2 linked regions of the Canis lupus familiaris genome follow. The protein of the gene in region 2 interacts with the protein of the main gene of each other region in a pairwise test. Links are inferred from orthologs where the notes say so. Each region holds a gene or a part of one and is shown on either strand. Other genes may lie near its edges. The genes, in order: E2F6 and TFDP1.

Region 1 (3,816 bases), on a different chromosome or scaffold from region 2:
CTAAGAAAGAGCAGAAGCCACTAGGAGAGTATGTGCTTTGGGGCTATCATATACTTATGCGATTTCCTGTATCCCAAATATTTTCCATCTATGTGAATTTTTTTTATCTTTACTGTGTTACTTGAAATTTTACCAATTATGTGATTTACTTGGTTCCCCAACATTTTTGGTTTACTTTTTGATTGGGAAGAGGAACAGCATTTACTTTCCTTCCAGTAAACTGGACTCTGGAAACATCTGACTGATACAGAATCTAAGTAAATTTGAGGCATGGAACAGCTCGGAATCAGTGACGCCTCATTCAGGTGAGGCAAGAACGGAGCAGCAGATGGGCCGGGAGACACAGGAGAAGATTGCCACCACTGCCCCGTCTCCCCTGCTGGTCCCAGAGGCACATCCAGCTACACCAGGCTTTGTGGGCCAGAGTGGCAGCACTAGTACTGTCTCAATGACAAGTTGTTTCAGAAATAAACTCCGGTTAACAAATTAGGAAAAATGTCAATTTCACAAATGCCAACAACATATTTTACTACCTTTACAGCATTCTTTGACTAAAAAAACAAACAAGAACACACCACTATTTTCATTTTAAATGCAAACACTGATCTTGGTACATGGTCACAATGCAGCATTTAACGTGAGCAAATACCAGCAAAACAGCAATTATTTGTGTATACCTCAGGCTACACAATTTAACCTTTACTTACTTTTAAAAGTTCTAAAGCTCTAGTTTTGTGCTTTGAATATATTAATTAAATCCCCAAACTGATCCTACTATTTAAAGTAACCTGGTTTGAAAGGAGAGATTTTTTTTAAAAAAGGACAGTGTTAACAAACTGAGGGTGCTGGAGGAAAGGTGGGGGAGGAACTGGGTGATGGGCATTAAGGAGGGAACGAGACGGGGTGTGATGAACACTGGGTATTGTGTGCAACGGATGAATCACTAAATTCTACCTCTGAAACAACACAGTATATGTTAAATTGAATTTAAATAAAAAGTTAAAAAAAAAGACAGAGTTAAAGGATATCTTTCATTTTCTTTGTCGTCTGTTAATTCAAACAACTGCTGAGCACAATCCTTAATTAACTCATCCAAAGCATCTTCCATTGCTGATAAGTCAGAAAGTTCCTCCTGCAGCTTCTTCTGTTGGGGCACTGCTCCAAAATTGCTAAGATCAGATCCTCTTTAGAGGAAAGGTATTAAAAAAATAAATTAAAAAAATCACCATCAGACACATCTAGGAGAAAAGTTAGATTCCTAGAACTTCTCCAAATGTTGACATCAGGTATTTCCCAGAATGACAGACAAAACTAGGTACTTGAACATCAACCCTGACCTCCTTTTAGACAACCATTATTCCTCCTACACATAGACTGGCTTTTGTCCCCATTTCTAGTCTCTTACACAGGGATAAAACAAAAACAAAAACAAAAACAAAACCCTTATAACTAGGGAAATTAACAGTAGTAAGGAAAGCTGATGGAGTTCACTGAGCACAGACTGAGAACCAATAATACCCAGTGTAAGCCCCAGCTCTCCTACCTACAGTAGGACTTTGGTAGTTCTAATCTTTTAGTACCCTATGAAAAACAAGGAGTACTGACTAAAATTATAGTACTTTTGCTAAAATTCTGAGTATTTTCCCTCTCAAATGCATATTCTACTTGGTTCTATCTGAATATAATGTTATAGGGATCCCTGGGTGGCGCAGCGGTTTAGTGCCTGCCTTTGGCCCAGGGCGCGATCCTGGAGACCTGGGATCGAATCCCACTTCGGACTCCTGGTGCATGGAGCCTGCTTCTCCCTCTGCCTGTGTCTCTGCCTCTCTCTCTCTCTCTCACTGTGTGCCTATCATAAATAAATAAAAAATTAAAAAAAAAAAAAAAAGAATATAATGTTATATTCTTTATTCTCAGAAGATATATTTTCCTTAGTTGTTATGGTTTACCTATTACATTGGTATGATATGACCTGAGTCCACTGATACTAATTTTTCTTCTTTATGGAAAATAAAGAGGAAAAAGGCTGTGACCACTTTACCTTTTGCTTGGTAGTTTTCAAATCTGATTTTAAGTAGTGATTTAGAATGCAATCTGATATTAACCCCTAAAGTGTGGGGTGCCTGGGTGGCTTAGTCAGTCAAGTGTCTGCCTTTGGCTCAGGTTATGATCTCGGGGTCCCGGATCAAGACCCACATCAGGCTCCCTGCTCAGCGGGGAGTTTGGCTTCTCCCTTTCCCTCTCCCTCTGTGTGCTCTCCCTCTCTCTCTCAAATGAATGAATAAAATCCTAAAAAACAAAAAGTCCTAAAGTGTTATTTAATATTTTTTAGCTAATATTCAGATTAGAATTCAATCTGCATTTCTGTACTATTGGAATAAATAACTTCCTTTTATGAACCACTTTCCTCTAACAGCAAAGTGCATTACTTAGAGCCATTTCATGATCTTTTTTGTTAGATTTTTCATTTGCCTGAAATGAAATATATTTATATGTACTTATATGCTGGAACTGTTTCTTACTGATCTGAAATATTTGTCTATTTTAAGTATTAAAAGCTTTCTTGTTATGCACATGTGCATATACACATGTATATCTACATCTGTATCAAAAGGCCTTTTTTCCACGATCCTTCCTAATGAAATTGAAGTCTTTAGCAAATGCTTCTTTTTTTGAGAGAGAGAGTGTGAGTACGAGAGAGGGCAGGTGGGGAAATGGAGAGAAAGAATCTCAAGCAGGCTTCTATGCTCAGTGCAGAGCTTGATCTCTGAGATCACGAGCTGAGCCGAAATCAAGAGTTGGACACTTAAATGACTGAGCCACACAGGCACCCCCAGCAATTGCCTTTTAGATATTGTCTACGGATTTTTTTTTTTTTTTTTTTTTTTTTTTACATTTAGGGCAGTATGCGATCCTATGGATCTGAGCCCATCTGATTCATAATTACCTGGGGTAGCTGTTAAGAAGGTAGATTAGATTCCTGCCTTTGCCAAAGAACAAATGAATTACATACAACCCCTGGGGCATGAGGTCTCTAAGTGTTTATTACCTGACATTGTTTTACAACCTTAACTAGTTTCTCCTGATATCAACAATCAATTGGGGAAAAAAAAAAATCTCCTAAACAATCGGACGTCCCCTTCCTAGGATCTTGAAAATCAAAACTCTTAGAACTGATCATTATTCCATTCAACTTTTCCATAACATCAGAATTATATTTTAGGTCTATGGCTTTTATTTAGCCCTAAGTAGGAAAAAAAAAATATTTATGTACCTTGTTGGACCTTGTGAGAAATTTCTGTAGAATCCTTTTCTAACAAGAAGTCATCTCTTACTTTGTTTTGTCCTGTCAAAACACTAATATCTAGTCTGTTTCAAGTACAGTATCGTCACTTAATTAGAAGGAAGAAAAAAAAAGGCCATGAAAATTTCGAAACCAACTCACATCCATCGAATATGGTTCTTAGACTTTTTTTCAACCAGATCGATTCCATCTAAGACATTGGTGATGTCATATACTCTCCGTTTTCGCACTCCCAGTTTTGTGGCAACCTTGTTTAAGTCGAGAATACCCCCAGGAGCAGATCTGACAAGATCCATAAATTTTCGAGTTAAATAAACCAGAGATACATCAAAACGAGGTCTCTTCACTTTTAGAGCTTCTGGGAAACAAAACAGACAAATTTGTAAAATTCTCAATAGTATTGCTTTCTCAGCTCATTAAAAGAAATTTATTTCCTCAGTAAGCATAGACACCTACCAAAAATTCTATATACTGGACACATCATAGCTAATTTTTATGAAACATTTCTCACA
Region 2 (3,816 bases):
CCTAGCAAAAAAGTCAGAAAGGGTAAAAAAATTTAGCCAAAAAACGACTTCAAATTGCATCTTTTCTTCTAAGTGGGAACCACCTAACTGTCCAAGAAATCACTGTGCCTCGGTAAAGTATCAGTGCCAGTTTCTACACTAGTTTTTCTTCTGAAATGGTAGTGGCTCTCCTTACCTTGCTATAAACCTGCATTAATACCCAAATTCCGCCTCTTGGAATAACCAGTGCTCAGCATCCCACAGACTCACAACCACCCGTGCACAGCGGGAAGGTTACGACCACCTACTGAGCTGACCTCTGCCTAAATCTGATGGGGGCCAGATACTACACAAAGGACTGCGGTGACAACCCCACAGCCAGCCCATCGCATGGCGCAAGTCAAGAGCTTCACTCGTGTCACAGAACCCAGAAGCCGGTGACGGCCACAGAGCGCCACATCACCCTTGAGCAGATCAATTCCATTCTGTTGAACCTATAGACCACTAATCTATTTCACGCTTCAAGAAATTAGACATTTATTAGTATTTAAGACTGATATGAGACAATATGTATAATAACGTATAACATAACATGAAAGTTAATAAAACCATTGTTTTGTCAATACTTAATGCAGAAATTATCTTATGTTAATCTTTAGAAAACTAAGATAAATACCCAGCGACAACATAATCCTGCTTTTGCAGGATGGCTAGTTCAAAGGCTACTACATGGTGATTTAAATAATAAAACTTCAGTAACACACAAAAAAAAACACATACAGTAAATAATAAAGCAAAAAACAGAGGCCCCGGGTGGCTCAGTCAATGAAGCATCTGCCTTGGCCTCAGGTCATGATCCCAGGGTCCTGGGATTGAGCCCCACATCGGGCTCCCTGCTCAGCGAGGGGTCCCCATCTCCCTCTCCCTCTGCCCCTCCCCGTGCTCCTGTGCACACACACTCTATCTCTCAAATAAATACAATCTTAAAAAAAAGAAAGCAGGGATAAAGTTTTATGTCCACTGTGATCTCAACTGTGTTAAACAGAAATAGGAAACAGACGGAGAAACACCCCATCCCTCAGGCTGCCAGCAAGAGCTCAGGCAATTCCAGCCCTACCTTCAATGCATCCTACTTTTTAACAAATAAAAGGCACGCGCATCACTTTGATGTTTTAGGGGGAAGAAACCCTAAGCAAGAGGATCCTGTGTACCCAGGGGATGAGCTACGATGGGCCTTCAGGGGATGCAGCTCAAGAGGAGCTGTGGCCGGGAGCAGCCAAAACTGTGGGCAGAGTGTGGGGATCCGCCATCCACGCGAGGGAGCCAGTGGGGAGCCCTGGAGGAGGCAGGACGGTCTTCAGGAGAGCCAGGGGCTCCACCCACCAGCCAGCCCAGAGCTGTAGTACCTGGCAGAGAGCCTTGTGCCATTTGAGGTTGAAACTGATGACGTGACGAACACCCCTCCGATTGATCCCTGAGCCATCTCTGAAATGAGAAGAAAACAAGGCAAAGGTCACAGGTACAGGCCAGACAGCTGACCCGCCCTGCAGCTTCTGTGCCAGGACACCAGCCATCCTGCCCAAGAAGGCACCCAGTCCTTGGTTTACGTGATCACTGATGACCATGCAGCTGTCCCGTAAATGGACACTGTTTGAAAGTGGGGTCGAGAGCAGGAGGACCAACCCTGACTCCCCATCCCAGGAGATGGCATGCACTGCTGGCAGCTGCTGTGGTGTCTGATCCAGCCCAGTGGCTCTGGGAGGAGATCCACACCCCCAGGCAGTGCAGGGCCAGCAGCCTTCTCACCACAAAGCCCCTCCGTGGCCACGACCCCATGGCTCCTCAAAGGAGTCCCCAGAAGGGCAGCGAAAGCAGAGAACTGCCCCCCAGGCAAACCCGTCCTCACCCCCACATCGGGAAGAGGCAGAGCACAGCACTCCCCAGAGCCTCTTCTGGTTGTGGGACCTCAGAGGTCAACCACCCACCTCGTCCACACCCTCTGACATTCCAGTCCCTGCCTTCTTGAACCCAGAAGGTGAAATCCTAACTTAATACCTCCGTCACATAAACCACACAATGCCAATATGGCGTCCAGCCTGCCGGCCCTGTACCCTACCCGCCTCACGGCCCCAGGGCCCCCTTCCTGGCTGAGTCCACTCCTGGTGCCCGGTGCTGGATTTGGCCTCTGCAAAGGCGGGCCACACATCCAGAGCGGGGATCTGGCCCCATGGCCACCAAGGGGACCGGACAAGACTGACCTGTCACATAGGGTTCCAGTGCTTTCGGCACCAAACTCCTAGCCATCTTCAGGTCTTCAGCAGAGCAGCTTCCGGACTCCAGCCCACAGGCCATCCCCATGCGCTTCAGCACTTCTATGTCATCGTGGATCTCAAACGTGTTGTCAAAGTTGAAGAGATACTCAAACCTGAGAGACAAAGTCACCACCGGAAAATGAACCACATGCCACGTTCCTGACGGTGCAGGCATGTGGGGCACACGGGACACATGGGGCCCCAAGCAGAGTCACTCAGCCCAGCCTCCCAGGACCTTTTCTCATCTGGCATCCCACAAAACCCATCACCGCAGAAGCAGCAGGCATCACAGAGCTGAGCGTGGGGCAACTGCCCACACCTCAGGCCAATGCTGAAACTGAACACTGGCTACTGCTTGTACAAGGTTTAAACGGATGCGCTAATAATAACCCTGAGAGATTTTACATTTTAAGAGATAAACACAAAACCAGGGATGTGAAAAAGAAGTCTATCATCTCATTACACTGAAAGACTATATACAATAATCACAAATTAGATACTTCTATAAAGAAGTAAGTGGGGGCAGCCCGGGTGGCTCAGCAGTTTAGCATCCCCTTTGGCCCAGGGCGTGATCCTGGAGACCCGGGATTGAGTCCCACGTCGGGCTCCCTGCATGGAGCCTGCTTCTCCCTCTGCCTGTGTCTCTGCCTCTCTCTCTCTCTCTCTGTGTCTCTCATGAATAAATAAATAAAATCTTAAAAAAAAAAAAGTGAACATGCTACTTCTGAGTGTGACAGTGGCTTTCTCCACGCTGACCTGAGGCTCAGCTGGGACCTCAGAGTAGGGGCCCACTCATCAATGGACCTACTTGTCGTTGGAAATGCTGCAGTCGATCACGGTCTTCTTGCTGGTATTGACGATGATGAAGGGCAGGTGGATGACGGAGTTGGGGGGCGGCGGCCGGCTGGCCTGCTGCTCCGCCTGGCGGTTCCTCTGCACCAAATTCTTGAAGGCAATTTGCTAAAAAAGATGAGCCACCAGCACGCTGCTCACACCAGCTGCCACCAATCGAAGGCCTTGTCCATAGGTGTCCCAACAACTCTGCCCAACCCCACAGGACAGCAACAGGGGTCAGGCCCATGAGAGGCCAGAGCAAACCAGGGGGAGACGCAGGCCCCGTTGAGGGCTCAGCAGAGGATGCACACCCTGAACACCAAACAGCCCAAGGGGAATGGAGGCAAATGCTCAGGCCACTGAGATAAAAACGTCTCCCGGGAATGGTTAAAAGAAACGCATCAATGCTGGATATTCCATTCCTCCTGCCCCTCTGGGTCCCGAGAAGGCAGACATGGGGCCATGCCCCCATACGGACCTGGAGCAGCAAACATCTGCAGACCCGCTGGCACAGGGCTCTGAGGGTGTGGGCCCTGAGCTCTGCAGTGACGTACACCTTCACCATAACTCGCGTGTGGTCAGGTGAAAGCCAGGAAGCACCCCTCCCTCCTCAGCTAGCCCCAGGCCACAGCGCCTGGGAGGGGACTTGGGGCTCACAGCTAGGCAGGAGAGGCAGTGACTGGATATTTTA

The links.
Region 1: the proteins of TFDP1 (region 2) and E2F6 interact in binary tests that used the Homo sapiens proteins (3 or more experiments, as listed by UniProt). The link is inferred for Canis lupus familiaris from reciprocal best matches to the Homo sapiens genes TFDP1 and E2F6.

The regions. Positions count from the first base shown.
Region 1 is NC_049238.1:8,172,577-8,176,392, forward strand, and holds part of E2F6 (transcription factor E2F6), read right to left. Parts: intron 3,663-3,816; coding exon 3,446-3,662; intron 1,185-3,445; coding exon 1,029-1,184; intron 1-1,028. UniProt on the Homo sapiens protein: Inhibitor of E2F-dependent transcription. Binds DNA cooperatively with DP proteins through the E2 recognition site, 5'-TTTC[CG]CGC-3'. Has a preference for the 5'-TTTCCCGC-3' E2F recognition site.
Region 2 is NC_049243.1:61,046,929-61,050,744, reverse strand, and holds part of TFDP1 (transcription factor Dp-1), read right to left. Parts: intron 3,252-3,816; coding exon 3,100-3,251; intron 2,405-3,099; coding exon 2,238-2,404; intron 1,465-2,237; coding exon 1,386-1,464; intron 1-1,385. UniProt on the Homo sapiens protein: Can stimulate E2F-dependent transcription.